Macaca fascicularis: one gene and its partners. The protein of the gene in region 4 binds, or shares a complex with, the protein of the main gene of each other region. Links are inferred from orthologs where the notes say so. Each region holds a gene or a part of one and is shown on either strand. Other genes may lie near its edges.

What was found.
Region 1: RBM10 (region 4) and KIF11 share a complex: the UniProt entries of both Homo sapiens proteins name them as parts of the large chromatin remodeling complex. The link is inferred for Macaca fascicularis from reciprocal best matches to the Homo sapiens genes RBM10 and KIF11.
Region 2: RBM10 (region 4) and MYSM1 share a complex: the UniProt entries of both Homo sapiens proteins name them as parts of the large chromatin remodeling complex. The link is inferred for Macaca fascicularis from reciprocal best matches to the Homo sapiens genes RBM10 and MYSM1.
Region 3: RBM10 (region 4) and KAT2B share a complex: the UniProt entries of both Homo sapiens proteins name them as parts of the large chromatin remodeling complex. The link is inferred for Macaca fascicularis from reciprocal best matches to the Homo sapiens genes RBM10 and KAT2B.

What each region holds. Positions count from the first base shown.
Region 1 is NC_088383.1:101,408,392-101,416,118, reverse strand, and holds part of KIF11 (kinesin-like protein KIF11), read right to left. Parts: intron 7,257-7,727; coding exon 7,169-7,256; intron 5,567-7,168; coding exon 5,378-5,566; intron 3,654-5,377; coding exon 3,446-3,653; intron 2,490-3,445; coding exon 2,317-2,489; intron 1-2,316. UniProt on the Homo sapiens protein: Motor protein required for establishing a bipolar spindle and thus contributing to chromosome congression during mitosis. Required in non-mitotic cells for transport of secretory proteins from the Golgi complex to the cell surface.
Region 2 is NC_088375.1:176,029,336-176,037,062, reverse strand, and holds part of MYSM1 (deubiquitinase MYSM1), read right to left. Parts: intron 6,803-7,727; coding exon 6,748-6,802; intron 6,455-6,747; coding exon 6,404-6,454; intron 6,339-6,403; exon of another isoform or gene 6,202-6,338; intron 5,698-6,201; coding exon 5,623-5,697; intron 5,009-5,622; coding exon 4,820-5,008; intron 3,403-4,819; coding exon 3,270-3,402; intron 1,337-3,269; exon of another isoform or gene 1,264-1,336; intron 1-1,263. UniProt on the Homo sapiens protein: Metalloprotease with deubiquitinase activity that plays important regulator roles in hematopoietic stem cell function, blood cell production and immune response.
Region 3 is NC_088376.1:28,387,238-28,395,595, forward strand, and holds the start of KAT2B (histone acetyltransferase KAT2B), read right to left. Parts: upstream 4,600-8,358; 5' UTR 4,525-4,599; coding exon 4,222-4,524; intron 1-4,221. UniProt on the Homo sapiens protein: Functions as a histone acetyltransferase (HAT) to promote transcriptional activation. Has significant histone acetyltransferase activity with core histones (H3 and H4), and also with nucleosome core particles.
Region 4 is NC_088395.1:47,272,614-47,280,340, reverse strand, and holds part of RBM10 (RNA-binding protein 10), read right to left. Parts: intron 4,966-7,727; exon of another isoform or gene 4,925-4,965; intron 4,359-4,924; coding exon 4,175-4,358; intron 2,650-4,174; coding exon 2,419-2,649; intron 575-2,418; coding exon 505-574; intron 1-504. UniProt on the Homo sapiens protein: Binds to ssRNA containing the consensus sequence 5'-AGGUAA-3'. May be involved in post-transcriptional processing, most probably in mRNA splicing. Binds to RNA homopolymers, with a preference for poly(G) and poly(U) and little for poly(A).

The DNA of each region.
Region 1 (7,727 bases), on a different chromosome or scaffold from region 4:
ATGACTTATATCCTATTGTATCAGAAGAACTTGTGAAAGATGTTGTTCTTGTCAAGAAATGGGAAAAATTAAGAATGTAGTATAGATTGGAAATATTTATAAAAAGAAAAAAAGTCCTGATCTAAGCTCTTTTGGTAGGATAGGGCTGAGGAAGTATAACAGAAATACATTAGTAAATACTTATAGGCCTACTGGCATTCTTTTGGAAAGAAGAGCTAGCATATCAATTTCAACTAATTTTATGACAGCAACATTCCTCTTTTCTTTTAAGTCAAGCAAAAATCGTAACTTGGTAAGTAGAAATATATCAATTCAGGCATAGCTTATTTTATTGTGCTTCACCTTACTATGCATCACAGATACCAAATTTTTACAAATTGAAGGTTTGTGGCAACCCTACCTTGAGCAAGTCTATCAGTGACTTTTTTCAAATATCATGTGCTCACTTTCTGTCTCTGCATCACATTTTGGTAACTACTGCAGTATTTCAAACTTTTTCATTACACACTGTGATCAATGATCTTTGATGTTACTATTATAATTGTCTTGGGGTACCGTAAACTGTACCCCTGTAAGACAGCAAACGTAATTGATAAACGTTGTTTGTGTTCTGATTGTCCCACCAGGCTGCTGCTGGAATTACAGGCGTGAGCCACTGCGCCTGGTCAACATAACCTTTATATGCACTGGGAAACCAAAAAATTCATGACTTGCTTTATTGTAATATTCACTTTATTGCAGTAGTCTGGAAGCAAACCTGCAACATCTTTGAAGTATGCTTGTATATATAGAGACCATTTAATGAATGAATCAATATTTGAAAAGTTAGTACTGACAGGGTATCTTTTAACACTGTCAAATTTGGGTGATTGAGAAAACCTATCAAATAATGTCATCTAAGCAATGAATTGAGGCAGAGGGTCAGCTAACATTTGTAGTATTTACTTGGAAATGTTTAATAAATATTGTTAAACTGAAAAAGGGAGGCAAAGACCCTGCACACAGAAAACAAATTATATGGCTAAGAACTTCCTAGACCAACCATACAATTTTAAAATAAAGACTATATAAATCAAGTATGAAGGAGGTAATATGAAGTGCAATTAGATAAGTGACTTCCATAGAACTGTGGAGAAAAGATTTACAGTTATGGCCCAGAAGGGCACAGCCACACAGATCTAACCCTAAGAATTGTTATGTGTTCCCAGAATTCTTAAACATACTTTTCTTGCACTATTACTATCATATATTACTGTAGTTTTAAAATTAACTACCCAATATCCCCTTCTGGTTGGGTCCAGGACCCCTGAGGAAAGAGGGACTTACCAATTTCTGGGCCAACTAACAAATCCCTTGCTATCATGTGGTGCTAAACTTGCCCTTTAGTCATTAAAAGCCTCACTAATAACTCCTATTCCTAATGTTACAAGACATGAGTGAAAAAAGTTTCAAAAGTTAGTTCCATACATTTGAAAATAATCTTTCTGGGAGAGAATAAACAGTGGAGAGATCTGTCTTTTAAAATATAGACGTACTCTCGGCCGGGCACGGTGACTCACGCCTATAATCCCAGCACTTTGGGAGGCTGAGGTGGGTGGATTGCTTGAGGTTAGGAGTTCGAGACCAGCCGGACCAACATGGTAAAACCCCATCTCTACTAAAAAAAAAACAAAAACAAAAATTAGCCAGGCATGTTGGCACATGCCTATAATCCCATCTACTCAGGAGGCTGAGGCAAGAGAATCACTTGAACCCAGGAGGCAGAGGTTGCAGTGAACTGAGAAAAGGAGAGGCTAAAAAAAAAAAATACATAAAAATAAAGAAAATGAGACGCTGGCTGGGCACGGTGGCTCACGCCTATAATCCCAGCACTTTGGGAGGCTAAGGTGGGCGGATCACGAGGTCAGGCGATCGAGATCATCCTGGCTAACACAGTGAAACCCCGTCTCTACTAAAAATACAAAAAATTAGCCAGGCGTGGTGGCGGGCACCTGTAGTCCCAGCTACTCGGGAGGCTGAGGCAGGAGAATGGCATGAACCTGGGAGGCGGAGCTTGCAGTGAGCCGAGATGGTGCCACTGCACTCCTGGGCGACAGAGCAAGACTCCGTCTCAAAAAAAAAAAAAAGAAAGAAAAAAAAATATATATATATGTACTCTCACAGTGACGTGTCTATGACTGTGTCTAGCAAAGCTTAAGATGAAAGAATAGCAGTTAACATTGTTTATTAAGATTTATCAAATGTAACCCTTCAAAATATTTTATCAAATACTTATCAAATGTAATCCTTCAAAAATATTTTAAAAGATATACTAACAATCCGTTCCTGTAGTACAGTTTTACTTTCTGCTGCTAATGATTGTTCTTTTAGTATCATATTAAAAATCTGAGAAACACGAGTAGACACATTTTCTGGAATAGATGTGAGAGATCCAAGTGCTACTGTAGTAATGGTATCTAACGCAGAGACACTGGAAGACAGCAGATTACCTAGAACAAACAGAAAAAAACAGAAAGATGTAAACTTTGACATAAATATATTTGATATACACATATATATATATTAAATACAGTTCAAACCATTTCAGAGAAGTTGGCAAAAGTATACCCTTGTAGAATTTGTAATAATGAGCTTAAAAGAACTGGCTCACTACATAAGCAAGGAAATATTTAAATATACATTACATATTTTCTATAGTGCTCTGTAAGCCCTTAACATATTTGTAAGTGTATCAGACCCATAATTCATAGTGCACAAAGAATTAGAATATTCTATAATTAATCTCTAACTAAAAATAATATACAGAATTATGGTAAGTTTACAGAAGAAAAGAAAAACTGGAAATCAATACCAAAATGTATTGATTGTGCTTGGCTTAATGAGACTAGAGTCTAGATGATTTTTTAAATTTTTATATTTCTAGATGTCCAAATTTTCCATAATGAAGATAGTATTTCACACTAAATAAACATACTTTTTTCTAAAGGGAGATAATAGAATAGTTAAAAACAATGAGACACAAACATATTCTGACAATATAGCAAATCATCAAGATATACATGCCCCCCCCAATAAAAAGTTGCAGAATGTTTATGCACAGAAAATTTCTAGAAAAAGGCCCAAGAAATTTAACAATAACACCTATGGTGAATGACCCAGGGACAGGAGCCAGAGTCAGGGAAAAAGAGGACTTCTAACGTTTATATACTTAGTTACTTAATAAATGTAACAATTTATAGAAAACAGAAGGGAGGGTGGGGAGGGAAAAAGATTTGTTTTAATTCAGAGACAGTAAAGCATTAATCAGCAGCCTGAACAAATAGTTTGTGCATTGTAGAGAGTATTGGTGACACTGTCATCTATGTTTCACAAAATTAAATTATCAGTTTTGAAATCAACATCACACTTAACACATCAAGACTAGAACAGAACAGCCTGAACTTACCAAATAAGGTCTTATGTACTTCTAGCATGGCCTTTTGTTTTGAGCTGCCATCCTTAATTAATTCCTCCATATTATTAAATAGACTATTCAGGTTTTTGCCAAAAATATCCTGAGCTTCTGCATTGTGTTGGTCAACTGCCTTCTTACGATCCAGTTTGGAATGGAGATCAGATACATCTTTTGTAGTTTCTTCAACTGTGTTAAGCAGCTGTATTTTAAAAAATAAGTGTTAGACAAAATGGATATGACGAAAGGAATCTAATGAAAGTATCTACATAAGGATTTATCTTGATAAGAACTAGTAAATTTTCCAGCCTGACCAACATGGTGAAATCTCGTCTCTACTAAAAATACAAAAATTAGCCAGGCGTGGTGGTACACACTTGCAGTTCCAGCTACTCAGGAGGCTGAGGCAGAAGAATTGCTTGAACCTGAGAGGTGGAGGTTGCAGTGAGCCAAGATTGTGCCACTGTCACTCCAGGCCGGGCGACAGACAGAGAGACTCTGTCTCAAAAAAAAAAAAAAAACTAGTAAATTTTAGACATTGTATCAGAAGAAATGCTTTAACTTATGCTAATTTATCCAGATGCCCAGTAATTTTTATTTCCCTTCCTGTAGCCATCTACGCAAGCAAGGAAAACTGATTTTGTCAGTTATTGCAATAATCATGCCTCCTCAGAAATTTTTTCCCTTCTATGTTCTACTATTTCCTCAAAAGTACACCTAATGGCCGGGGGTGGTGGCTCACACCTGTAATCCCAACATTTTGGGAGGCCTAGGCAGGCAGATCACCTGAGGTCAGGAGTTTGAGACCAACCTGGCCAACATGGTGAAACCCCGTCTCTAATAAAATTCAAAATTAGCTGGGTGTGGTGGCAGGCACTTGTAATCCCAGCTACTTGGGAGGCTGAGGCAGGAGAATCGCTTGAACCCGGGAGGCAAAGGTTACAGTGAGCTGAGATGATGTCACTGCACTCCAGCCTAGGCGACAAAGCAAGAGTCTGTCTCAAAAAAAAAGTACAACTAATAAAAAATTAAATACCTTCAACATCTTTCATCATTAGAACATACTAAATTCTTTTTTTTTTCTTTTTGAGACAGAGTCTTGCTCTGTTACCCAGGCTGGAGTGCAGTGGCATGATCTCGGCTCATTGCAACCTCTGCCTCCTGGGTTCAAGCAATTCTCTTGCCTCAGCCTCCTGAGTAGATGGGATTATAGGCATGTGCCACCATGCCTGGCTAATTTTTGTATTTTTTTTAGTAGAGATGGGGTTTTACCATGTTGGTCAGGCTGGTCTCGAACTCCTAACCTCAAGCAATCCACCCACCTCAGCCTCCCAAAGTGCTGGGATTATAGGCGTGAGATATTGTGCCCGGCCAGAACATACTCAATTCTTAATGACTAATTAGGTTCAATCATCCCCACAAAGAAAAAGCATCACAACATCACATTCTAAATGTCTACAAAACATATTATAAAGTTATGTTCTATTTTCTTTTTTTTTTTTTTTTTTGAGACAGAGTTTTGTTCTTGTTGCCCAGGCTGGAGTGCAATGGCGCGATCACGCCCAGCTAATTTTGTATTTTTAGTAGAGACGGGTTTCTCCATGTTGGTCAGGCTGGTCTCGAACACCTGACCTCAGGTCATCCGCCCGCCTCGGCCTCCCAAAGTCCTGGGATTACAGGCGTAAGCCACCACGCCTGGCTAAGTTATGTTCTATTTTCCAAACTCCAGGAGCAGGAGTAGTTTTTTCATAAGTCAACATCTCCACTAAGAAAGATATGGATGAAATAGTAAAATAATGTTTTTTAAATGGACAGAAATACCATTTTGGGTGAATAAACAGAATATCATAATTAATGCTTAAGCACAGACATTATTTCTACCCATTCTCTATTTAATATGAGTATAAATCAATACAAGGGACAAACCTTGCTGGCAGCATCATGAAGTTTCTCCTCAGTACTTTCCAAAGCTGATGTGATATATTCTTCTTTAACAAGTTGTAATTTAGTTTCTTGCAAATGTTTCTGAGTGGTTTCAAGTTCTTGTGTTTTATTTTGCAGGTCAGATTTACACTGGTCAAGTTCATTTTTATTATCCATAAACAACTCTGTAACCTAAATATAATGTAGAAATTAAAAAATGCTGATCTGGTTGGTAGGATATCTGGCTAGTTCATAAGATTAGAAAAATGAAACAAATTATTTCCATGCAAAAGCTGTAACAAGTTACCCAGTAGATTAACACAAACATGTCATCCGGTTTCTTTCTGCAATCTTACTCAACTCTTTGAGATTAAATAATAGGTTTGGGGTAGTACTATTAATTCTTCAGGTTCCTTCAACATTGCCATTGAATTTGAATAAAACAGTGTTAATGTGGCCCGGCAAGGTGATTCACGCCTGTAATTCCAGCACTTTGGGAGGCCAAGGCAGGAGGATCACTTGAGCCCCAGAGTTTGAGACCAGCCTAGGCAACATAGCAAGACTCCATCTCTACAAAAAAATAAAATAATTAGCCAGGTATGGTGGTGCATGCCTGAAGTCCAGCTACTCAGGAGGCTGAGGCAGGAGAGTTGCTTGAGACCAGAAGTTTGAGGCTGCAGTAAGATATGATTACGCCACTGCACTGTAGCCTGGGCATCAGAGCAAGACCCTGTCTCTAAAAAATAATTTAAAATGGCCAGGCATGGTGGCTCATGCCTGTAATCCCAGCACTTTGGAAGGCCGAGGCGGGTGGATCACGAGGTCAGGAGATAGAGACCATCCTGGCTAACACGGTGAAACCCTGTCTCTACTAAAAATACAAAAAATTAGCCGGGCGCGGTGGCGGGTGCCTGTAGTCCCAGCTAGTCGGGAGGCTGTGGCAGGAGAATGGCGTGAACCCGGGAGGCGGAGCTTGCAGTGAGCCAAGATCACGCCACACTCCAGCCTGGGTGACACAGTGAGACTCTGTCTCAAAAATAATAATAATTATTATTATTAATAAATAAAGGTATTAATATGAGAGTGGCCTGAAAGGTCAGGCCTCTTGCCTACCCTAGTTATATTACTTTTCTTTAATATCCAGTCTCTCCCAATATCTGTGTTCCTTCATCTGATAAACATGTTAACAAAAATGCTTCAGCATTCACTATTTTGTAGTTTTAATAACAAAATCAAACAATTCAGTTAATTTTTTGTAATGTTTCATTAATATAAGCTGTCAGCTTTTTTTATGTGATTGATGATAGTAAAAAATCATGATATAACTTACTTTCAGTATAAGGGTCAGCAAAATAAAATCTTTTTTTTTTTTTTTTTTTAAATAAAATCTTAAAGAAGGAGCTGGGTGCGGTAGCTCATGCCTGTAATCCGAGCATTTTGGGAGGCCGAGATGGGTGGATCATGAGGTCAGGAGTTCAAGACCAGCCTGGCCAGCATGGTGAAACCCTGTCTCTACTAAAAATACAAAAAAATTAGCCGGGCATGGTGGCACACGCCTGTAATCTCAGCTACTTGGGAGGCTGAGGCAGGAGAATCGCTTGACCCCAGGCAGCAGAGGTTACAGTGAGCTGAGATCACACCACTGCACTCCAGCCTGGGTGACAGAGCGAGACTCCATCTAAAAAATATATATATACATATATTGAAGGAAAAAATATTAGGTCTTTCACCTTCTAAAATTTTCTTTCAATATTTGCTTTTCACATAACAGTAAATATCATTTTAAATGCTTACCCTATTCAGCTCCTCCTCAACAGCACCAATTTTTTCAATCAATTCTACAATCTGCTCTTCTTGAACAGTTAATTTTCCACTCATGACTCTAAAATAAAGTTTAATATGAGTTTAACAGTTAATATTTTTTCTAACTCCTACAAAATGTATTCCAACACAATTGTGACAGCTACACAAACTCATTTCCAACATTTATCACCATGACTTGATACCCAAGTGTCACCTGATACCCAAGTGTCACTTAATACCTAAGTGTCAATAAGCAATAAATACAAATTACAAAGAACAAATTATATTCCTTGTCTTTGTTTTATAAATGAAATATTTTTCCCTTGCCCTAAATTCTGAAACTAAGAATCCCTACCTATGAGGGGAAAAGTATGTGTGTACCCAATTTGAGAAGCTAGAAAGCTAACAGAGGACTGACTGTAACTCAAAGTAGAGAGAAAAGGGAATACAACCTAAGTGTCTATAATCAGGGATACAGAATATAAATATGCCCCACAGAATGTTGGAAAAATGTGGGACTAGGCCGGGCACAGTGGCTCACGCCTATAAT
Region 2 (7,727 bases), on a different chromosome or scaffold from region 4:
GAAAGAAGCCCAAGGGGTGGACATCATATATTCATCTAGAAAGGAAAAAATACGAAACAATGAGCTATCTTAGCAATTTTTCACATATCCTTCAAGAGCCCCATGCAAATGTATCTGTAGCATTTTTTTAAAAGCTCAGCTGATTCATTACCAAAGGCTGATACCATCATAGTAACACTTACAATGTGTACTATGTGCCACCTAAAACTTTATGTGAAATCACTTAAATGAAGTAGCTGCCATTATTCCCGCCCAGCCCCCTGCCCTTTTTTTTTTTTTTTTTGATGAGGACACTACATCATAGAAAAGTTAGCCTGCTCATAATCAGATACAAAGGCATAGGCAGGATTTGAACCCAGGCAGTAAGACTCGAGAGTTCTGCTTTTAACTTTTACATAATACTGCCTCTCAACTGGGTTTCTACCATGATAAGGCTTTTCAAATAAATAAAATGCCAGCAAATCCGAAGTCATGGAAAAAAAAAGGGAAAAATACAACTGTTTCCTCATAATGAAATAAAGCATAGCTTAACTGTCAATATGCTCTAAAAAGGTATTTTTTCAGGTGTTTAGAAGAAGGACAGCGGACAGCAAGCCTGATGATGATGACTGATCTTTTTTATTTAATTGCTCAATTTTCCTCTTCTCCAAAAACTTAAAGAGTGACACATTATAGTACGTGGAGTACTAAGCAAACTCCTTTTGGTGATAACGATCACTTACTTGACATGCTTTGATTACTTACTAAATACGGATACCAGCTATATAATCATAACTATCCATTGAAAACTTATTATTTCTAAGCACTTTACATATATTACTGACACACCTTACAACCATATACCTACTGTAAGCAAGGTAGTAATTTTTTCTCATTTTACAGATGTGGCAAAGGAGAATGAGAGAGTAAACTGCCCAAGGTAAAATAAGCAATAAATGTCAGAGCTGGGATCTGATTCCAGTAGAGTGACTCCTGCTCTCAGTGAAAGTTGAAAATGAAAATAAAGAAAGGTAAATAATGCATTTCCAATCTATGCTGATGCAAAAACATGAAAACACACACACAAATCATATACAGGTCTATTTGGTATTTTTAGAATATTTTTTAATTTAAAAAAAGGTACTTTTAAAGTCAATAAAAGTTTCCTTTTATAGAGAATATTTTTATCCACTAAAATATAAGAAAACTAATCACTAAATATATTTCCTCCCTGTCACAAGTAAAGAAAACATTAAACCATTAGAGATATTATAAAGATATGACCTGAGTTAAAAGTACTGTAGCACAAGGTATCCCATGGCTTCTAGAAAACCTTAATTCTTGCACCAGAGGATTTCTAAGGGCAAAGCAAAAGACCCAGGATTAAGATCTAATATGCAGCGTTAAGCGTGGACAAGTCATTTACAAGACAGCTGTGTCCAATGGTAGCTCACGGGAGCATCATGGATAGTTCCCTCTAATGCTTTCAAGTGGTTCTTTCCCATCTGGGCTAGTTTCTTCACATGCATGTGCTGATCTGTATTTTGCCAAATACTCCAGGGATACCCTTCTACAAATCTCCAGAGTTCACTCTCCATTCTGTTTTCTGTTCTCTTGGGGCGCTGTCTCACAAACTCAGCTGTCTTGGTCTCCTTATCTCCATCACCTTAACTGAGTCTGCCTGACTCTGGGTGGGTTTCTCCTTCTTGTGCCATATCTGAAAACCCTCTTAAACAGTAAGCTAGGGTAATTTCGGGCTCTTTTCATTTGTTTCCCATATCTTAGCAACTGCATTCCTTTGCTGCTCAACGTTGTGTTTAAATACCATTATTTTATATACTTTGTCCAGTGTTTTGGTAGTTTCAGACAAGTTCTTGTTACTTCATTTGGCCAGAGTAGAATTCCATGAATTAAATTTTAAGTTTCATGTAATTCTAATCAACATACATTTAAAGTCACATGTACTGCTATTGTATTGGACACCACCAGAATTGAGGTTCATTATCAAAACCTAGCAGTCTGTGAGATTATAAAATGATTAAAGAGAGAACAATTGCGATTCTTTTTATAAAACTGTACTGAGCTTAAGAGTATTATGTATTACGTGCTATGCTCAAAATGGACATTCCAGACTAAAGTTAATGCCAATATTATTAACTCAATAAAAACCCACATAGTGTTGACCACCTCCTAGATGCAAAGCAATTTATTAGGTGCTACTGGAGAAAAAGACAAATAAGACATAGTCCCTGCTCTTCGGGCATACAATTTGTTTAGGACTTGCTAAATAGATAAATTGCATTAAAAGACAAAGTGACCATGAAGGGAGGAATAAAGTGTTGCAGATACATAAAAAATAGAGCAACTAATACTAAATAACATAGGGGCAGTGCTGGTAAGTCTTTATAAAATATAAGGCATCCAAGTGAGATCATTAAGAATGAAGAGAAATTAATTATTAAACATTCATTCATTTAGTATCTACTTTATGCCAGGCCTTGTGCTAGAAACTGGATAGAAAAATGGGTACAATACAGTATTTATTCTCAAAGATCTCATGATCTAATGGGAAAGAGTACAATGTGGGGTAACTGTAGTGGCAGCGTCCAGGGGACCTGACCTAGAGCAGTGGTAGTAATGACAGAATATCCTAGAGTTATTTAGCCTATTGTTTCCTCTGATTATTTGCTTTCTAGCCACACTCCCTTCCTTTTCCTAGTCTGCTATACTAATTCCCTATCCACCCAGAAATGACTGGACTACAAGTGGACATAAACCTCGGAGGAATCAAGTCAAATGATGGTCTATGCCAATCAAATTCTTTCCTGAGATACAATGGGAGCAACGAAATATACAAATTGAGTTAGTCATTGTTAACCCCTAAACTGGGAAGTGACAGGGAGTTGGTGGTCATTTTTTTTTTCATTTGCATACCATCACAGAGAAAGCCAGTCTGCATTTATAAAAAAATTTTCATGAGAACAGAGACTGTTTTGTTTACTGCAGTATCTCCAGTGCCTAGCATACACACTGCCTGGCCATAACTTTTCCCCATATTTCAATCCTTTTGCCCAGTGGCCATGGTAACAAAAGTGGGGACTTGAATATAGCAGGAGATTAAGAAAGGGAAGAGGGTGGCTGCACTAGGGTGGCACCCAAATAATGATTCCCTAGTTGAGGGCACAAACTCTTGCATTAAATACTTTTGCACAGTTGCAAATCTTTTGATTTGTATGAGTCAAATAAATGAGAGCAGAAATAGGATAAAGTTATTTTTGTTGAAAACTTACGGTAAGAGCCATCTGCGCTAATTTCCTCACTTATAACCAGGCAGGTAATCTGAGAATATGGTAAGGGATTATTTCGATTATAGGGACTAACAATCATTCCAATGAACTTTGCACCTCCTCTGGAGAAGTAGCTCTACAATTACAAGAAAAATATAATTAGTTTCAACTGCATAAACTCAAAAGCCAATATTTATCCATACTAACATTTTAAACATCTAATGAGGAAAAGCAGGAACAAAAAGGTGCATTAAAAAGTTCACATCTGGCCCAGAGCGGTGGCTCACGCCTGTAATCCCAGAACTTTGGGAGACTGAGGCAGGTGGATTGCCTGAGGTCAGGTCAGCCTGATCAGGCTTGAGACCAGCCTGGCCAACATGGTGAAACCTCATCTCTCCTAAAAATACAAAAATTAGCTGGGTGTGGTGGCACATTCCTGTAACCCCAGGTACTCAGAAGGCTGAGGCAGGAGAATCCCTTAAACCTGGGAGGTGGAGGTTGCAGTGAGTCGAGATCGCACCACCTGCACTCCAGTCTGGGTGACAGAGTAAGAAGACTCTGTCTCTAAAAAAAAAACAACAAAAAAAGTTCACATCCCAACTGAAACTAAATCAAATGCCTTAAATATTCATTTCACATTGTACATTTTTCAGGCAAAAATGTGTTCAACCAAATCCAAAATGACCCTTAAAAATAAAAAAATGGCCTACACAATCTGTATTTGCCATGAATATATTCACTAATTATATTCACCACCCTGCATCTGTAATTCTTATCAACACAGTAATAATTTACAAATACCCTACAGCAAACCCAGTCACATATCAAATGTAAAATCCCAGATTAAAATAAAACTTTTTCTCCAGCTATTAAAAAATACATTATGTCTCTTATTATTTCAGTTATATTTAGTACCTGTCCTAGTTGTTCCCATCAATTTTTAAAGGCTCTGGGAGTATTTATCACTGTAACATTCATGGCTTGTCTGTACTTAATAAAATAACTGACTTTCTAAATGTTTACATAAACAATTATCAATCTCTCAATCAGAAAAAAAAAAATGTATGTTCTTTTAAAACCCCCAGTATACATAATTTTTTCTTTTTTTGGTTGGGTGTGGTGGCTTATGCCTATAATCTCGGCACTTTGGGAGGCCGAGGCGGGCAGATCACCCGAGGTCAGGAGTTTGAGACGAGCGTGGCTAACATGGTGAAACCCCATTTGTACTAAAAATACAAAAAATTAGCTGGGTGTGGTGGCACATGCCTGTAATCCCAGCTACTTGGGAGGCTGAGACACAAGAATTGCTTGAACCTGGGAGGCAGAGGTTGCAGTGAGCCGAGATTGCACCATTGCACTTCAGCTTGGGCAACAAGAGTGAAACTCTGTCTCAAAAAAAACACAAAAAAACAAAAAGAAAAATAAATAGATAAAACCCCCATTATAAAGAAAATTAGAAATGAAATACAAAAAATGTTTAAAGTTTATCTATTTAAAAGGGAGCACTGAGGGGGTGTGCAACCATTTACAGAATATAAATATACAGGTAATACCTGGTATTTAGCTTGTGTGTCAATATCTCGTAAGGAAGGATTAGGATCAAAAGCAGGATGAGAATGATACCATCCAATAACACTGTAGCCTCTAACAGCCAAGGTTTCTGAGGCCTGTGTTTGTGATACAGGATCCATCTCACACTGTAGTCCTGTACTCAGACTGTTACATGGTTCTGCTGCACAGACCTATAAACGATTGATCCTCAAATGATTATACTAAAATCCTGTTAATTCTATTACTCTAATTCTTTCAGAGATACAGAAACTTTTCAAGGCCAAGACTTTTATTTGACAATATCATAGGCGCCTTTAACTTGCAAATGACTTATACTCCAAAAGTCTGATTATATGCTAGGAACTTAGCATGCATTTTTCTACTCAAACAAGGTCATAATAATGGTTAGTTTTCCAGGTCAGCCCACATAATACCCGTACAAAGGTATTCTTTCAATGACTCCTGTTACTTATGACAACAATTTCAACAGAATGATGCATACAAACTTTCAACTACAAGTGTTAGTACATATTTCTGGCCTCTTAAAAGTTGTAGTTTTTTGCTAATAAAGGTAATGAGGACCCAAGGCCTGGCAATGTTCTCTCTTGGTGGTAAAAAGGAAAAGGTGCTCGGCATATGGAATGTTAAGTTACTCCTGGGAATAGATAACTTGCTACATTTGCATATTCTCATATATATCATAGGTAAAGTATATATTTTAATTATATTCACTGAATTCTATAAAAATATTTGGTATGGTAGTAGGACTAAATAACTAAAACATTTTTTAAAAGAGAGAACTTACTTCAACTACTTTATCAACTTCTGAGTATCTTCCTCCTAACAGACCAATCACTTCTGCCATAGAAACATGAGCATGCTAAAAAAAATACAAGACAGACTTAGCCCAAACGCACAAACCCACCTGACAAAAAAAATAACAAAACTCACTTATTGTAAGAAAGTCATTTGTAAGTACAGTCATCATGCTTTTATAAAATAAAGTAGCATAGGAGAGGAACTAGATGCTAGGATCAGTGCACAGAAACTATTTCAGGTCTATCTTCACTGCTGGCTGAGAAGCTTTCAACCAAACACTTAAAAATTCTCAGACTCTACTTTTGCAATTGCAAAATGAAGATACACTCTTCCTATTCAAGGAAGGTACTATGTAAGGATACAAAGTAAAAATCACTCTAAATCCTTCTACACAAAGACATCACAAACACAAAAACTGTTGGAGGTACTGGTAGTTTAGTATAAACAAAAAAACCCTCCAAATTACAGGAGTTGTACTTTGTTTCAGTGATCTAAAAGGTGGCAGACACAGATATTAGAAAATTAAAGTAGGGTTAATGATGGTAAACAGTCTGCAAAAACTCACATTAATTTATTTTCTCTAAAATATGGAAACATGCAATTGTTTGGCTTTTCTCCAAAAGAAAAGACTTATTTTTAGATTCCTTGTAAAAGAGGATAGTTAAGATCCAAAATACACGTCTTCCATACTCTGTCTTACGCCTGCAATAAAAATACACAAGAGTAGAAATCAGAATAACTAAGTAAACACAATAGATTATCCTTACCAAATCCATTATTAAAAGTGCTTCTGAAGCCACTTTCACCTGAAATGGCTCCTGAAATATAAAAAACAAAACAAAACGGGGGACCATAAAAACAGAGATTTTGTTCTCCCCACCTGGAATGCCCACCCTGTTCTCCTTCATCCACCCCACCAAGTTCTCAGCACTAACCAAAGCTCAGCACAAACTAGATTTTTAAAAAACATTATGATTTAAAACCCCAGCAGGGAGAAATTGTCTCTCAGATTCAGTCATGCCTTGCACATATGGAAAAAGAGTAAGTATTTCCTGTTTGACAGGGGGAAGCGGGGATTGTCTAGGGTCATTCATTAATGCATAAATAGTACCTGCTTTTCTTCACTAAAAAAATTACAAGGTATCAGTTGGAAGGGATCAAATGAGCTGAAAAAGAAAAAAAATTATTTTCAATATCAACAAGATTAGGAAAATAACATTTGCAAATTTGAAAGTGTATATCAATAATCTGAACCCAAATTCTGTCTAAATGAGAAAAATATTAAACTAGGAGAGTTTTGTAGGAGATTCCATAAACCCTTTTGAAAGAAGCACTGTTCTTTTAGATTTAACAAGAACAAAAAAAAAACCCAAGAACTTTGAGATAAAGTTACTCCATTGTCTTAATTTCCTATTACACTCAAAGAGGACACTATAAACTATCAGACATATGTCCCACACTAAAAGGAGATTTCAAAAAGTTCAATGAAAATATAATTATCTGTTATGAGACCCCCAAAAAAGTTCAAGAAAGATGGAAGTTTATCAAAAACACTTGTCAGTTCAATAATGTGCCAACAATAGAGTAGGAACTTAAAACTTTTTTTGAATGAATGAATGACAAACGGTTCTGGTAAAGATATTAATGTATTAGTCCTATGATAAACTCTTGTATTAAAGTGAAAAAGTGGCCAGGTGCTGTGGCTGACATCTGTAATCCCAATATTTCGGGAGGCCGAGGTGGGTGGACTCCTTGAGCCTAGGAGTTCACAACCAGCCTGGACAACATGGTGAAACCCCATCTCTACAAAAAAATTTAAAAATTAGCTGAGCATGGTGGCGTGTGCCTATAGTCCCAGCCACTCGGGAGGCTGAGGTGAGAGGATCACTTAAGCCCAGGAGGTGGAGGCTGCAGTGAGCCATGATTTCACCATTCCACTCTACTCCACTCTAGCCTTGGTGACAGGGTGAGACCCTGTCTCCAAAAAACAAGAAGTGAAAAAGTAAAAAGAGGTGAAAAAGGGAGAACCTAAGCGAAGTCAAAAGCACACATAAATCTGAGAAATATCAGAAAGTCTTTGACGAGTAAAGA
Region 3 (8,358 bases), on a different chromosome or scaffold from region 4:
ATTCAGTTATAATTCCACAACTGCTATCATCACAGCTAATCATTTCTTGCACTTTCTCTTCTCTGGTTCATTCGCTTAGTCGATAACCGCATCACTAAGAATCTAAGATTCGAAATGCATATCAAATAATCGTACAAATCATAAAAATCATAAGAAAAGCACCAGAAAGAGTACAGATGAATTTGGATAATTTCTAATGGGAAGGCTGCTCAGGAGGGTAAAGGAAAGGCAAGGAATCTGAGTTCTGTAGGAAGAGTTGGGAGCTAATTTTCAAGTGTGGAAAGAAGAGCTTCCAGTCCCAGGGAACAGCATGTGCAAAGCCCCTCACCCCACCTCACCCCTTACTAGGTGAAAGGAAACCATGTGCCTGAAGCCTTGAAAAGGAGCCACAGACAGCAGTAGCCGGGCCATGCAGGGCCTTCTGGACCACAATAAAGAGAAATTATAGGGCCTGAAATTGGGGTATAACATGGTCAGATCTACTTTTTTTTTTTTTTTTTTTTTTTTTTTGAGACAGAATCTCGCTCAGTCACCCAGGCTGGAGTACAGTGGCGCAATCACAGCTCACTGCAACCTCTGCCACCACTCCTGGCTAATTTTTTATTTTTTGTAGAGACGAAGTCTCACTATATTACCCAGGCTGGCCTCAAACTCCTGGACTCAAGTGATCCTCCCGCCTCAGCCTCCTAAAGTGCTGGGATTACAGGTATGAGCCACTGCGCCTGGCCTAGATCTACATTTTTAATGATCACTCTGGCTGTGCCACACATAAGCAAAATGACTCTGAAGCAACCTTTACCAGGACACAGTTCAAAGATCTGGATCCTGCAAAACAAGTTTGTTTGTTTCTTTTCTTTTTCTTTCTTTCTTTTGTTTTGTTTTTTTTTTTTTTTTTTTTTTTCCTTTTTCTTTTCTCTGGGGTGTGGCACATCACCCTGGCTGAGTTAGCTCCCTTCTTTTTTGGTTTTGTTTGTGAAGTTTAAAGGCCAGATTTATATCAGGCCTGGGACCTGTTTTTCTTTCAAAAGCCCCCCAGCAAACTACCTTATCTCTTTCTAGATCCCTCCTCATTCTCTAATCTCTCTAATCTAACTTGCCAAGGGGCCTGTGGCAAAGGTAGAGCAATCTGTCCTTTCGGGCTTGCTCATAGTAAGTGCAGAAACAAGCCAAGAGAGAACCACAGATTCTGCTCTCTTACCCTCCCTATTATCCAATCGAGCCCAGTTAATTTTTTTTTTTTTTAAAGCAAATCTGAGATAGTGTCACTCCCCAGGTTAAGATTCCTGCACTCCTCAGTGCCCTCTTGGCCACGTACCCCTCACCCCCAACCAGGTGGCCCTAGGCAACAAAGGTCTGGCTGGAGTTGGCCCACCTCCAAGCTTCCAGAACTGCTTTCAGTTTCTCCACTACAAGAAGCTTCACCCCACCCCACTCTGCCCTGCCAGGAGTTCTTAGCAGCCACTGACACTTCCTCCAGGAAGGCAATCCCACCCTACCAGTGCCCCAGTCTATGAATTGTCCTGCTCTGGGTCCGCAAGTACTCCAAGAAAGTAGTTTTTCTGAACTTCTCTGTAATTCTGGTTCACTGCCCTCCTCCCTAGGCCCCAACACATGCATGCACACACATGCACTTGTGCACACACACAGTAAGTAACTCCTGAAGGACAAATTCTGTGTGTCATAGGCCCAGCACCTAGCACAATGCCTGACACCCAGTTGGTAACCCTCCAAATATTTACTGAATGAATGGACACATAAAAATGAACACTTTCAGCCGGGCATGGTGTCTCATGCCTATAATCCCAGCACTTTGGGAAGCCAAGGCGGGCAAAGTGCTTGGGCTCAGGAGTTCGAGAACAGCCTGGGCAACAAGGTGAAACCCTGTCTCTACAAAGAATACAAAAAATAATAATAATAGTGTACTGGTGCATGCCTGTAGCCCCAGCTAGTCAGGAGGCTGATGTAGGAGGATCACCTGAGCCCAGGGAGATTGAGTCTGCAGTGAGCTACAATCATGCCACTGCACTCCAGCCTGCAGGCAGTGTGAGATCCTGTTTCAAAAAAAAAAAAAAAAAAAAAGGCCTTAAAATAAATTTTCTATTTCTCTTGTTTGGTCATGAAAGTGACCAGAAAACACTCAAATCTCAAACTTTGGAAGTGGTGCTACATCTCACCCATGGAAATTTGAAAAGATCAAAAACATCAATGCAGGCCACATATGCTCATGGTTTTAGACAAAACCAAAACTTCAGGAAAGTTTTCAGATATTAAAGCTACAGCAGGCAGCAGGAAGTCTTTAAGAGGTGCTGGTAATGATAACCCAATAAACAAATGTTAAAATAAAGCCAGGACAGAAACACTGAGTTGACACAGTTCCTGCATGAGCCCACTTTGGCTGCAAAACGCCAAGGCCACCAAGTAATTGACCTTGCTTTTTTTTTTTCATAGGTTTTGGGGGAACAGGTGGTGTTTGATTACATAAATTCTTGAGTGGTGATCTGTGAGATTTTGGTGTATCCATCACCCAAGCAGTATGCCCTGAACTCACGACCTTGTTCTTAATTCTGTACCTAGCTCTCCCTTCTGCCTACTACAGTCAGTGGCCTGTTCTCATTCATCTAATGCCCTTCATGATCAACTCCTGGGCTTGCACCTTTCAAAAAGCACACTCCCCACTTCATCTTTTTTGCATTCCTTCTTCAGAAATAACCACACGGCATTATTATTTGTTTCTGTCTTTTCTGCTAAATTCAACGGGGACAAATAATATACTGTCCAGGTCTGAATTGGAATGTGGTCTGTGGACTAGCGTAGTGCCACTTGGGAGTTCGTCAGAAATGCAAACTCTTAGCTTCCACCTCAGACCACCTGATTCAGAATCAGCATTTTAACCAGCTTCCCCAGGAGATTCCCATGCACATGAAAGTTTGAGGAGCACTGGGCTAGATCCCACATTCACTCAACAAATATTTATCGAACCAGTATAGGATACAGAGGTGCTCAACATAAACATGAGGATACGGTGTGGAAAAAGAGCAAGCACAGACATTCCATTGTGACTAAGAAGCTCCTGTAAGTACTAAGAAGAGTATAACCCAGATGTTCCAGTAGAATAAATAATAGTTATATCAAAATTCAGAAGTGGCCACTGCAGCTTGGTTGTGGGAATTGGGAATCCGGAATCTGGGAACTTGACCCTCTTTGCAGCAGGCAGGAAGAATACAGGGAGGTGTGTGAGTGTGTGTGAGTGTGTCTCTTCCCTGCCTCTGCCACAGGCCGCAGGAGCTGACAAGGCCAAGTCCCCGCCCCCCTCAGCTGTCACCCTGTCAAAACAAAGCCGCTGCTGACAGCGCAGGGCCAGCCTGCCCCGCGGCCTCGGGCAATCCTCCCACCTCGGGAGCACGGCCCCCACATCTGGATCTGCAGCTGGGGATGACAGGGTGCCTAAACTGGCACGGAGAGTGGGTAGCAAGAAATGGGTGTCCTCAAACCAAGCAGTAGCGTCCGCGGCGCTGGGCTGTCACCTTGCCAAATCCTGTTTACACCTCGAGCAGCTGGGACAGCGTTTTAACTAAACAAGTAATAATACAATAATGACAGGGCTGTCACTGCGCGCGGCAGCGCCTCCGCCCCCAGCCGAGGGCGTCAGGCGCCACAAGACCCTCGCCTCGGGCTCTGCCCACCTTCGCACCCCGCGCTTTCCTCCCCTTCGCTTTCCCAAAGCGCCAGGAGTCCGGGAGTCTTCTCCACCCCGACTCCTTGCACCCAGTTCCTCCCAGTGGGACACGGGAAGGGATGGACTGCAGAAGGGACCACTCAGTCCCCCAAAAGATGTTTCCCTGCCCCTGGGTCGCCCACCACATGGAGAGCACCGCTCCACTCCCGCGAAAGTGACTCCAGCGAGCTCCTACAGAGCAACAAAACCCCAGAGTAGCCCGGGAGCTCGGATTCCGAAGCTACTCCTTTCAAGCGGAAGGAATGAAGGGCTCTCCGTCTTAGTGATCCCCTTCTTCAAACCCAGCAGGACTCTTATCCAAGAAGAAGCTAATTGGGCTCGGGCGACAAGAGCACTTCCGCGGTGCAGCGGCCCCAGGCGGGAGGCGGGAGGCGAGAGGCAGAAGGCAGAAGGCGGGAGGCGGAGGTGGAAGCGGGAGGGGGAGGGGGGTCCCGCGGGCTGGGCCCCTAGCACCCATCCGCGGTCCGAGAACGGCGAGCGCGTACCTTGCAGGCGGAGTACACTCCGAGTTTCTCCAGTTTCTTGGCCCGCGGAGCGGAGCGTAGTTGCGCCTTCTTCACGGCGATTCGGGCCGAGCCACCGCCTCCCGGTCCTTCGGCCGTGCCCGCTGCAGCCACTGCCGTTGCCGGACCGCAGGCGCCCGAGCCCCCGGCAGCAGCGGCGCAGGGGGAGCCCTGCGGGGGCGCGGGCGGCAGCACCACGGGCTGCGGGGGCAGCGCCCCGGGCCCGGCCCCTGCCCCGGCTCCTGCCCCGCAGCCGCCCGGCCCGGCCCCGCCAGCCTCGGACATGCCGCCCCGGAGCACGGCAGGAGGCGCCGAGTGTCAGGCGCCGCCGCCGCCGCCAGGGTCTCCCTCTCGGGCTCTGGTCGTCGGGAGAGCGAGACCCTCCCCCCACGCCCTCCCGCCCCCTTCGCCCACCCCCCTCCCCGCCCCCGCCCTCCCCCTCGCGCGCCGCTCGCCGGGCTAGCTCCGGCCGGGCCCCGCGAGCTGATGGTGGCGGCGGCGGCGGCGGCGGCAGCTGCTCCCCCAGGAGGGAGGGGACTAGCGGCTCCGCTGCCGCTGCCGCTGCCGCTGCCACCGCCGCCACAGCACACGCCCTTCCTTGGTTATCCTGCCCGGGACTCTGCTCCGCGCCCTGGCTGCGGACATGTTCCTCGGGGCTGCGGACTGGGTGTGCGTGCGGGCGGGTGCCAGCCTCGCAGTGTGTGCCGGGGCCGGGAGGCCCCCCACGGCTTCTTTTCCGCTGCCCGCGGGGTTTGCACCCCCCACCCCAGTGCCTCGACACCTACTGCTCGCCCGCCAGGGGGCGAGGCCAATCCCTGGGTGTGGGTGAGGGTGGGGACGAGGGTGGGGGTAGGGGACTGGAGCCCAGGCACCTGCTGGCCACCTCCCCCCTCCGCGGCCCCCCATCCGACCCCCGCACGCCCGCACCAGTGGGAGGGGGCCGCCTCTCAGTCATTTGTCCTTCCACTCTCTTCCACCCTGTCTCTGAGCAGAGACAACTTCCTCCACCCTAGCGGGAGCCAGAGGAAAAAAAAAATATTTTTGAAAAGTACCCGTCCATGCTAATCCTTTTCTTTGTTGCTAATTCACCAAAATAAAAGCGTGATGTTTTCCCTTTCTCTTTTTAAATACTTTCTGTCAAACTATGTTTTAATATAATTAACACTTTCTTCCTATAGCAATTTGTGGGTCAAATCTGCCAGAGGAGGGGGAAAAAACTTACTATTCCCTGTACTTTTTGTTTGAAAGTGCTGGTTGCTAAAAGAACGATTGTCTAAAAGCATTGTCAAAATAAAAACTATGTGCAGTGGAAAAAGTTTGAATACAAAAAGTTTGTTAACAGGACTCGTTTCTGGGTGGTGGTTCTATCACGTTACGTAGTTTTCAAAATTGTACCACCAGCGTGCATATTAACCAGGAAAAAGATATAAGCATCATTCAAAAGAATAAATACCGATTTTGGCCTCAAACTTAAAAAAAAAAAAAAAAAAAAAAAAAAACCCTCAACTCAGTTTTCAACTCTTGTTGAAAACTGTTGTTTTCTCTGTTGATGACTGTGGAGCATACATGTCAGTGCTGCGTTTGAAAGTGGCGTACGGTTGATCGCCTTCTTAAAGCAGGTTTTAAAAGTCCAGGGCTGTTTCTCAGGACCCTTCAGAAGTGCCCTACTTTTTGTTATATGCAATGTGGGTCATAATGTGCTTATTATCAGATTTTATGCATGCTATATAGCTCTCAGGCCAGACGCCTTAAGGGGTGTGCTTTTCGTTGGAAACATTCCCCTTCTCCTTTTTCCAGATTCTCTGTGTTATTTTGACTTGTAATGCAGTGTAATACATAAACATGGGAAGGTGGGGGACTTTGTAGATCTAAACAGTGATATTAGTTTAGACAGGGCAAAAGGCAATATTCTCTCCCAACTTGAGTCCAGTCTTGAGGGGATGAAATGGCAGATTCTTATCAGGTTCCGTTCAGGACAATTAACTTCAGTGCTTCCTTTCTTAGCTTGACGTGCTTCACGTTACCAGTGTTACTCTCTCCTGACTCTGCTGAGAAATTTCGCAGATTTTTGCCATTCTCCTCAAAGCAGGGTGAGAGTCTTAAAGGCTGTGCTTCTCTGATCAAACTCTAACATGGATTTAACAAATACTAATAAGAGCTTGGGTTCTACCTTGTAGGCGTTTGTCAAACTGATGGAATGGTCCACTTGAGATTTGTACATTTCACTGGATGTAAATGTTGCCTCAAAATTTTTTTAAAAAAGAAAAGAATTACAAGCATTGAACTCTATTTAATGGTGCTCTTTGTACTTTGAGATGCGTCAAAAATAAGATGTATGGATGCCTCTATGCATGGGTAAAGGGTGGATGAACAGAGATACGATAAAGCAAATAGGGGACCATATAATAGTAGAGTCTAGGTAATGGGCACACTGCGCAATTCTTTCAACTTTTCTGTATGTTTGAAAATTTTCACAGTAACATATTGGGGGAGGGAACCCGGATTTAACATTAAGTCACCTATCACCTCCTCCTCCCAAGCGTCCCTCAGAATTCAGGAGGCAGACAATTTCCAGGATGTTTTGAAGCAGAATTAGCCATTCTCCTTTCAATCCACTCTGAAAACCATCACTGTCTGTGTGGCGAATGGCTTGTGCCATTAACTGAACATTATTTTTCATTATTTCCCTGCTCAGAGTACCCAGATGACATACTGCCTTAGGCTGAAGGCCCGCAGTTTCAAGACCTATTCAAAGTGTGTTATGAGCACCAGGCAAGGAAATTTCAAGGGCAAAGGATTCAGGAGGCTTATTGCTTTTCCATAACTAGGTTGTTGTAAGCATTCAATATGCTCTTTCTGTGCACACAGTACTTTTAAGAAATGACTACCAAGAAAATAAAAGGCAATGTTTTCATTTACAAAGTGTTTACCACTTACTGAGGTAAAGAAGCTACATTCAGGAAATAAAAGCCTGGAGAGTGGGCATAGTAGAGGCAGGCTGACCACTGGAGGTTACTTGTGGTATATTCACACAATAGAATATTTTATAGCTGTTATACAGAATGACCTTTATAAAAATATAATAACATAGATCTCTAAGAAACACTGTTGAATAAATCTCAGTGCAGCAGTTATGTTAAAAACAAACTCACACTGACATATAAGCACAATTTTGTATATGTTCAATAAAGGCATGGGAAATTCAAAAGTAATGAAAAGATTTTAAAAGGTGCATAGCAATAAAATAAAATTTCAACTTCACAACATGATATTATATAACAAGAAGTTGACAAGGTCCACCCCTTCCCATTCTCCCTGGTGCTGCAGTATACTTCAGCCAAACTCAGGAAACGCTTTCCTACCTCAGGGCCTTTGCATTTGCTGTACTATGCGGATACCCTCCACCAAACAGCATGGCTAGCCCTGTTCATCTGGTATTCCTTGCTCCAAGATGCCTTCCTAAGAAAGGCAAGTTTTGTGGTCATCTATTGTTATATCATCTAGCAGAGTTTCTTGCCATATTGCTTCCTACCAAGGCTACACAGCTTCTGTAATGTACCAGTAACCCTGGATCCCACAGATGGATTGAAATTGTCCCCAGTAAAGGCACAGACGCTAAAGGTACAGATCAAGTGGTCAAAAGTCAAAGTGCAGGTTTGACCCAGCACATGGCCCATGACTGACATTCTTCCCAGCCACCTGCTTTTAGAAACAGCAGTTGGATATGAGTGTGAAATAAAGAGACGTGAGGTCAATGTCTCAGTGGGGCCCCTTGGGCCAACCTTCCTCTGAGGGAAGTGGCTATAATTACTGAACATTTATTTTAAATTAAATAAAATAAATCCTCCTAGGAAAAAAGTATTGAAAATAATAATAAAATGAATCCTAGGATGGGGAAACATAAAATCCCCTTCCCTAGTTTTCAAGCATTTATAAATTAAATCATCATTTCCAGTGTGAATCTTAACCATGTCCCAAATACCATTAGTGCTCTTTTTTTTTTTTTTTTTTTTTTGAGACGTAGTCTCCCTCTTTTGCCCTGGCTGGAGTGCAGTGGCGCTATCTCAGCTCGCTGCAACCTCCACCTCCTGGGTTCAAGTGATTCTCCTGCCTCAGCCT
Region 4 (7,727 bases):
CCAGGAAGTCCTGGCTGTTCCTTGGGATGTGTCCTTGGATAAGAGCCATCCCCTGCTTCCCCCTTGGGACACACACGTGGGACCACCACGTCAGAGCTACTTTCTGGTCAGAGGCTGTTACCAAAAAATGTAGGGGAAAGTGAGGGGCAGAGGAAGAAGAAAGGAGAGGGAAGGGAGTGTATGGGAGGGGGTTACCATCTCAGATACTCAAGAGTCCCAGAGAGGAGATGCCTGGGAGCCTGGCCCTGGCCGTGACCCCGGGGAGCACCCAGCTCAGCTCAGAGCTGCACCCCTGCCCCGACAGCCCCATTGAAGAGGCTTTTGGCTGGAGCTGTGAGGAGAGTGTGGGGAAGGGGAGAGAAGAGAGGGCACCCCCCACACTGCCCATTCCCAGCTGTGGCAGGAAGGTGGTGGAGGGAGTCGGGGAGAAGGCAGAGGTAGGAGGGAGATTCCGAGGCTGAGGCTGGCCACTGGAAGGGGAGGGCACTGGGAACAAAAGCTCACCTGAAGATTTGTTCCGCATCAGCCGAACCTCCCGTGCTTGCACGCCGTGGGACTGCAGCTGGCCACGGATCTATATGGGGAGATACAGAGTGGGGCAGGCTCAGCACAATGGGGCCGCTGGGTACCTGAGGCTGGCTGGAGGCCTCTGGATCCCAAGGGGTCATCCGTGATGTGCACACAGTCTCCTCTGCCTCTTTCGCAGCTTTTCCCTGAGTGACAACAGTCCCAGGCCCACACCAGTTCACAGTCTTGACTTTCAGCCCCAGACTTGCAGAAAGTGAATCAAATGAAGAAATGGGCACAGAGCAAGGTAAAGCATGGCAGCAGGACGACCCTCAGGGACACAGAGAACAAGAAAGCAAGTGAGCCAGCCATTTAAGAACGGTGGGCAGGGTGATCTGACAAAGGGCTCCGTGGCAGCCATGAAGTAAGGAAACCTGGGAAGTAATTCTTGCCCTTGGCAAGGGGATAACCCATGCCCCCGCCCCTGCCCCGCTGACCTGCAGCTTGCGTCAAAAGAGATCCATGACATAAATGCCAAACTGGGGAGGACAGGAGTCTGAGCAAATCCTAGCCATGTACCCTAGACCATGACTGCAGCAATAACTTAGGGTGGAGACAAAAAGCAAAAAGATATAGTCCTGGGGATTGCTTCCTGGATGGAGTAGGCCAGAGCGAGACTGCAGAGGCAATTCAGGATTTGGAACAGGTGAGGCAGGGTCTCTAGGCCAGTGAGGTCTCTCACAGAGGACCAGGAGCCTATGCCAACCATTCTTGGGAAGGAGTCTTCATGTCTCTGGGCCTCAGTTTCCCCACCAGGTTAAACAAGACAGGAGATTAGACTTACACACACCCATACACAGGATGAAAAGGAAAAACACACAGAAGAGCTTATCAGGACTCCAAACTCAGGGAAGGCTGAGGAAGCAGCAAAAAGTGCGCTCTGGGGTCCAGCTGCCTGGGTTCAGACTCCAGCTCCACTCCACCATTCACTGGCTGTAAGACCTCAGGCAAGTCACATTCCCACTCAGTACCTTCCCTGTTGGGATGCCATGGGGACTGAATCACACCTAACACATGGCCCATCCTGAGATACATTCTCAACAAATGTCAGCAACCAGCTACTGTCTGACCCTGGACAGGGCAGGTGGGCCAGACCTTAGAAACCCTCAAATACACAAGTGGGATTTTCTCTGCTACAAAATGAGCAGCTAGCAGATTTCAGAGGAGGGCTAGGGGGTGAGGGAATTTCAGAGAATTCATGGGGGTGGGGGGTGAGGGGCGGCAGAGTGGACTAAGAAGGACCAGGATCAGGGAGACTATTCTTGGAAGTTATTCTGGTAGGCCTCATGGGGCTTCAGTGTGGCTGTCATGAGAAGTATGTATGAAAAGGAAACGCGAGGAAAGGGAGGCAGGCGGGGAGGCTGTTAACAGCCACCCAAGGCTCTGAGGCCAGGCCAGGCTGCTGACAAAAGAGGATGGGGAAAAAGGAGAAGGAAATTTCAGAAAATCCCACCCCTCCCCCAATGGTTGCAGGGCCCCAGTGTCATCTCTGCTACCAGCAATAGCCAGCACTGGCCCGGTGAGTATCTGGCCCTTGATGCACACATGCAAAATGGCTGGACGACCAGTGGAATGTGCAGGACTGCTCTTCTCCCGCCCAAACCCACCACTGCCGGATACCCACAGCCGCTGCCCCTTGGCCAAGCCGGCCTCTCTGACACTCCTCCCTCCAGACCGGGGGGCCAATGGGACCTGCCCACAGAGGACGGATCAGTGCTGGGGGATAGTAGCTGGAGGGGGAGAAGGGATGAAAGGCACTGAGGTTGCGGGTGAGGGAGGGGTGGGGAAAAGTTGAGGGCCCTGGAGGAGACCCAGCCTGGCCTCCTGCCCGGGGCCATGGGGGGCACGTACGTCATCCTCAGTGGCTGCCTGTGGCAGCATCCTCAGCATGACGATGTTACTGGCCTTCTCCTCCTCCTCCTCATCCTCCTCCTCCTCATCCTCCTCCCCTTGCTCGGTCCGATAGTCCTGGTCCCGATAGTCGCCGTCTCGGGGGAAGCCCGGCGGGCCGGTGGGGCTGTGCCTGTGCCGCCGCCGCCGCCTACGCTGAGTCTCGGAGCCCGGGGAGGCCTCGTAGGAATCCTGGCCGACAGAATGAGATGAGTGACACCAGACGGGCAGTCAGTCTGGGCAGGCCTAGGAGCTGGCCGCTGGCTCTGTGAGGCGGGCAGGCTCTGAAAGCCAGGGATGTGCGGGCTCCGGCTAAAGGCTCAGGCAGGCAGGGTGGGCAGGCCCTGGCCTGCAATCCTTCTGGGGCTGGAAATTCTCCATGGGGTCCTTTTGGGGACTGCCTTCAGGGGGTGGGGAGAGGTAGGTGGCAGTATTGGTGTTGGGGGGGATCTCTCAAAGGTAGCTGACAAAACACAGCTTAAACCTCCTTGAGGCAAGACGGCCTGGGGTCAGCACACCAGACCCCACCCTTGATTTCCCCCTCCTCTCTGGCCAGCTCAGGGGGTGTGCTCAATTGCTCACTGTACCACCGAAGGCTGTGTGTCTCCTATGGTTCCACCCTGCAACTAAGCTAGGGGCATAAGAACAGCTTCAGATCTCAGCCAGAGCCAGCCAGCAAGAGCTGGTAGAGGTGGTGTGAGGGCTGCAGACACTTCCTCCTCAGTCCCTGATCCTCAGCCTTGGCCAGTCCTCCACCACACACCACGCTCAAAATGGTATGGCTGTTGGGCTCTGGGTTGTTGCCCATTCATCTATTCCAGGACTAAGCAGACCAGGCCTCGGGCCAAAGCCCTCCTACCCACAGTGGGGAAGCGCCAGATAACTTGGTGCTCCATTCTTACCCTGGCCAGGGCCCAGTGCTCCTGGAGACGTCTGGGTACAGCTTGACAGCTGCCACTGGAGAAGCCAGGCAGTCCACCAAAGGAGTTTTCGCCCTGGACCCTCCAGAGGGCAGTGGGCAGCTCACAGCCTGCCCCCTAGGGCTGGGCTTGCAAGAACACCCTTCCCAGCCTGCTGGACAGGAGAGCTGCCTGCTCGTGTGGACCAGGGCCCTGACTGCCCCTCCAACTGGGATTCCCCTAAGGCAAGCCTGTTTGTTCCCCTCCGGTAGGGGCTCCTGATGGTGTAAACATCATGCCTCATCCCTTAGGCTAGGGTGAACTACCCAACATGGCACTGGCTTTTCTAGAAGTATCCTTCCCTTCTGTCTAGGGGCTCTGTCACCACTGGGAATGTCCATGGCTGGCCTCCCAGAGCTCCTCAGCTTGGTAGTCTGCATTCCCCTGGTTGTCCTCCCAACCCCAGACGCCGGGTCCCACGGAAGAGGCTCTTCAAGTGCTCAAGTTGGCTGGGAGTGGGCAGTATAGGGTTCACAGTGAGCCATGGGCCCGAACTGAACAACAGGGAGAAGGAAAGAGTGGTGGCCAGGGGCCCTCAGAAGTACAGAGCCAAGCATGTGGAAGCCAGGGAGACCCAGGTTGGGAGAGGAGCCCTCAGAGAGGGGAGTGGGAACAGGCCCTCCAGGTGAGGCAAAGCCACCGAGCACAGTCTGAAGGCATGGGAGTGGAGAGCCGCCTGCACACGGTGCTGCAGCCAGACACAGAGGGCTCTCGGGAGCCCATCCCAGTCAGGCCTGGCGCAGCTCGCCCCTCCTCACCTCCGCACTCTGCTCCTCAGATGAGTCGTCATAGTCGTGCTTGCCCTCCTGGCTGCCGTACTCGCGGGGATATGAACGGTAGTCCATGTCCCGGTAGTCGTGGTCTCGGCTGCGGTTCTCCCCACCATCATCCTGCGAGCGGTCAGTGGCTCCATAGCGCCCAGTCCTGTCACCACGACCACCACTAGTGGAGGAAGAAGGATGGGGAGGGATCAGAAGGTTGCCCTTTCTAAAAGGTGCAAGAGGCCCAGGTGATGTGTTCTCATGGTTATAGGGTTTCGTTGTTTTGGAGGAGCATACAACAGAAGTGAGGTGCCCTTCTGATCCTATCAGATAAGGAAGTACATGCTACCACCATGACTTAGCTCTGGTGATGTTAACCTTGGTCATCTGGTTAAGGCAGTGTCTGCCAGGTTTCTCCCCTGTAAACTTTCATTTTCCCTCCCTCTACTCTATTCTTTGGAAGCCCTCAGGCCTGCCCCTGAACAGGGATTCCTAAATATCTACTCCACATCTCTGAAGTGCAACCCGCCTCTCTCTGGTCCTATGTCACTCTCCGGTCCATGCCGCTGGCTTCTCTCATGAGCACCTTGGTTGTGGCCTGGCTGGTCTCCTCACTTCTACCTGGACCTCCCCAGTTCAGTCTCTACATCCCAAATCCCAAATATGAGTGCTCTCTAAGGCAAAGCCACTCAAACCCATCTCAGTCCCTTCAGTGGTTCCCCCTCAGTCTCAGGATCAAACACCAAAATGCTCACCAAGGTCCCATGCAGTTTGCAGGATCCCCAAGGGTGAGGGCCCTCCTCCCTGTCTTGCACCACGTCCCCTACCTCTGCTTCACTGTCACCTTGCCGACACTAGCAGCTCTTTCATTAAAATTTCTCCTACCGCAATAACTGTAAAATAATTATCTCAAAGCTGATTTCATCTGCATTTTTCTTTTCTCTTTTTTTGAGAATGGATCTGGCACTGGTGCCCAGGCTGGAGGGCAGTGGCATGATCAGGGCTCACTGCAGCCTCAACTTCCCAGACTCAAGCCATCCTCCCAACTCAGCCTCCTGAGTAGCTGGGACCACAGGCACGTGCCACCACACCCAGCTCATTTTTGTATTTTTTGTAGAGATGGGGTTTTACCACATTGCCAGGTTGGTCTCAAATTCCTGGGCTTAAGTGATCCACCCACCTCAGCCTTCAAAGTGCTGGGATTACAGGCCTCCACCACTGTGCATGGCCTAATCTGTGTTTCTTTGATGAGTTAAAAAATTACTAGAATATGGGCTCCAGGAAATGAGGGGACCTTGGCTCACTGCCATATTCCCTAGCACTCAGTAGGCGCTCAACAATTATTTTGAACAAATAATGACTAAAAAAGCATTCTAAAAGCAACCAATATATGTTTACTTAAAATAGAAAAAACTAGATGACATAGAAGAATGCTACTATACTAACAGGATTCCAATTCTGGTTGGGAACAACATGAGAATGTCCGTTATCAACAGCATTCTTAACATTATTCTAAAGACACTAGCTAAAACAATTAAACAGGGAAGGAAGAAAAAAGGTTAAAAGCTGGAAAGAAGAAGGTAAAATTACCATTATTTGTAAATGATAAGAGAATATACCTGCAAAGCCTAAGAGAATCAACTGAAAAAACTGTTATAAATAATAAATCAGTAAGGATGCTGGGTACAAATTAATGTAACCACTGTTTAGAAAATAGAAAGGTCCCAAGTACAATTCATCAAAAAGGTTAAATACCTAGACATGTGCAAGATATTATGACTATATTTCACATATATACCAGGATATATTTCAAACAGATCAAAGATTTAAATATAAGAAATGAAACCACAGGCCAGGCGTGGGCGGCACTCTGGGAGGCTGAGGTGGGCAGATCACTTGTGGTCAGGAATTCGAGATCAGCCTGGCCAACATGGTGAAACCCCATCTCTACTAAAAATACAAAAATTAGCCGGGTGTGGTGACACGCGCCTGTAATCCCAGCTACTTGGGAGGCTGAGGCAGGAGAATCCCTTGAACCCGGGAGGCAGAGGCGGCAGTGAGCCAAGATCAAGCCACTGAACTCCAGTCTGGATGACAGAGTAAGACTCTGTCTTTAAAACAAACAAACAAACAAACAAAGAAACAAACAAAAAAAACAAAGAAAGAAATGAAATCATAAAAGTAAAAGAAGAAAATATAGAATAATTGAATAATTTCTTTATAATCTTGAAATGGGGAAACCTATAATCCAAATCCAGAAGCCACAGAAGAAAAGATTACTAAATTCAACTACATAAAAATAAAATACTTTTGCTTGGACAGAAAAACAGAAAAACAAAAAACATCATTAACCAAGTCAAAAGACAATAAACTAAGAAAAACTATGGGGAAAGGAAGTGAACAGAATTCACAGATAAAAATATAAACTATGTGTATCTGAAAACATGCTCTATCTCACTTACAATGAAAGATGAAAATTTTGCTAGGTGAGATGGCTCATCCTGTAATCCCAGCACTTTGCAGGGCCAAAGTGGGAGGATGGATCGCTTGAGGCCAAGACCAGCCTGGACAACATAGCAAGATCCCGTCTTTACAAAACCACCATCAATCACCACCACAACGTATTAGTTGGGCATGGTAGTGCACATCTATAATCCCAGCTACTCAGGAGGCTGAGGCGAGAGGACTGCTTGAGCCTAGGACTTCTAGGTTACAGTGAGCTATGAGTGTACCACTGCACTCCAGCCTGAATGACAGAGTGAGACTCCATCTCAAGAGAAAGATGATAATTAAAACTACATTGGATAGACTGTTTTAAAATAAACTTTATTTTACTTATGACAAGGTCTCGGTCTGCTGCCCAGGCTGAGTGCAGTAGTGCAACTATAGCTTACTGTAGCCTCTACCTCCTGGGCTTAAGCAATCCTCCCATCTCAGCCCCAACTAGCTGGGACTACAGGAATGCACCACCACATCCAGCTAATTTTCAAATTTTTTATAGATACAGGATCTCACTGTGTTGCCCAGCATGATCTTGAACTTTTGGACTAAAGTGATCCTCTCGCCTCAGTCTCCCAAAGTGCTGAGATTACAGACATGAGCCACTGCACATGGCCTAAAATATACTTAAAATTTTAATTTCTGTATATTTTTTCTAGATTTTTTTTATTGTGGTAAAATATACATTTACCATTTAACCATCCTTTTATTTTATTTTTTTTTGAGATGGAGTCTTGCTCTGTCACCCAGGCTGGAGTGCAGTGGCACAATCTCAGTTCGCTGCAACCTCTGCCTCCCAGGTTCAAGCGATTCTTTTTTTTTTTTTGGTGACGAGTTTTGCTCTGTTGTCCAGGCTGGAGTGCAGTGGCACAATCTCGGCTCATTGCAGCCTCGGCCTCCCGAGTAGCTAGGACTATAGGCGTGTACCACCACGCCCGGATAATTTTTGTATTTTCAGTAGAGACAGGGTTTCACTACGTTGGTCAGGCTGGTCTCGAACTCCTGACCTCGTGATCCGCCTGCCTCGGCCTCCCAAAATAATGGGATTACA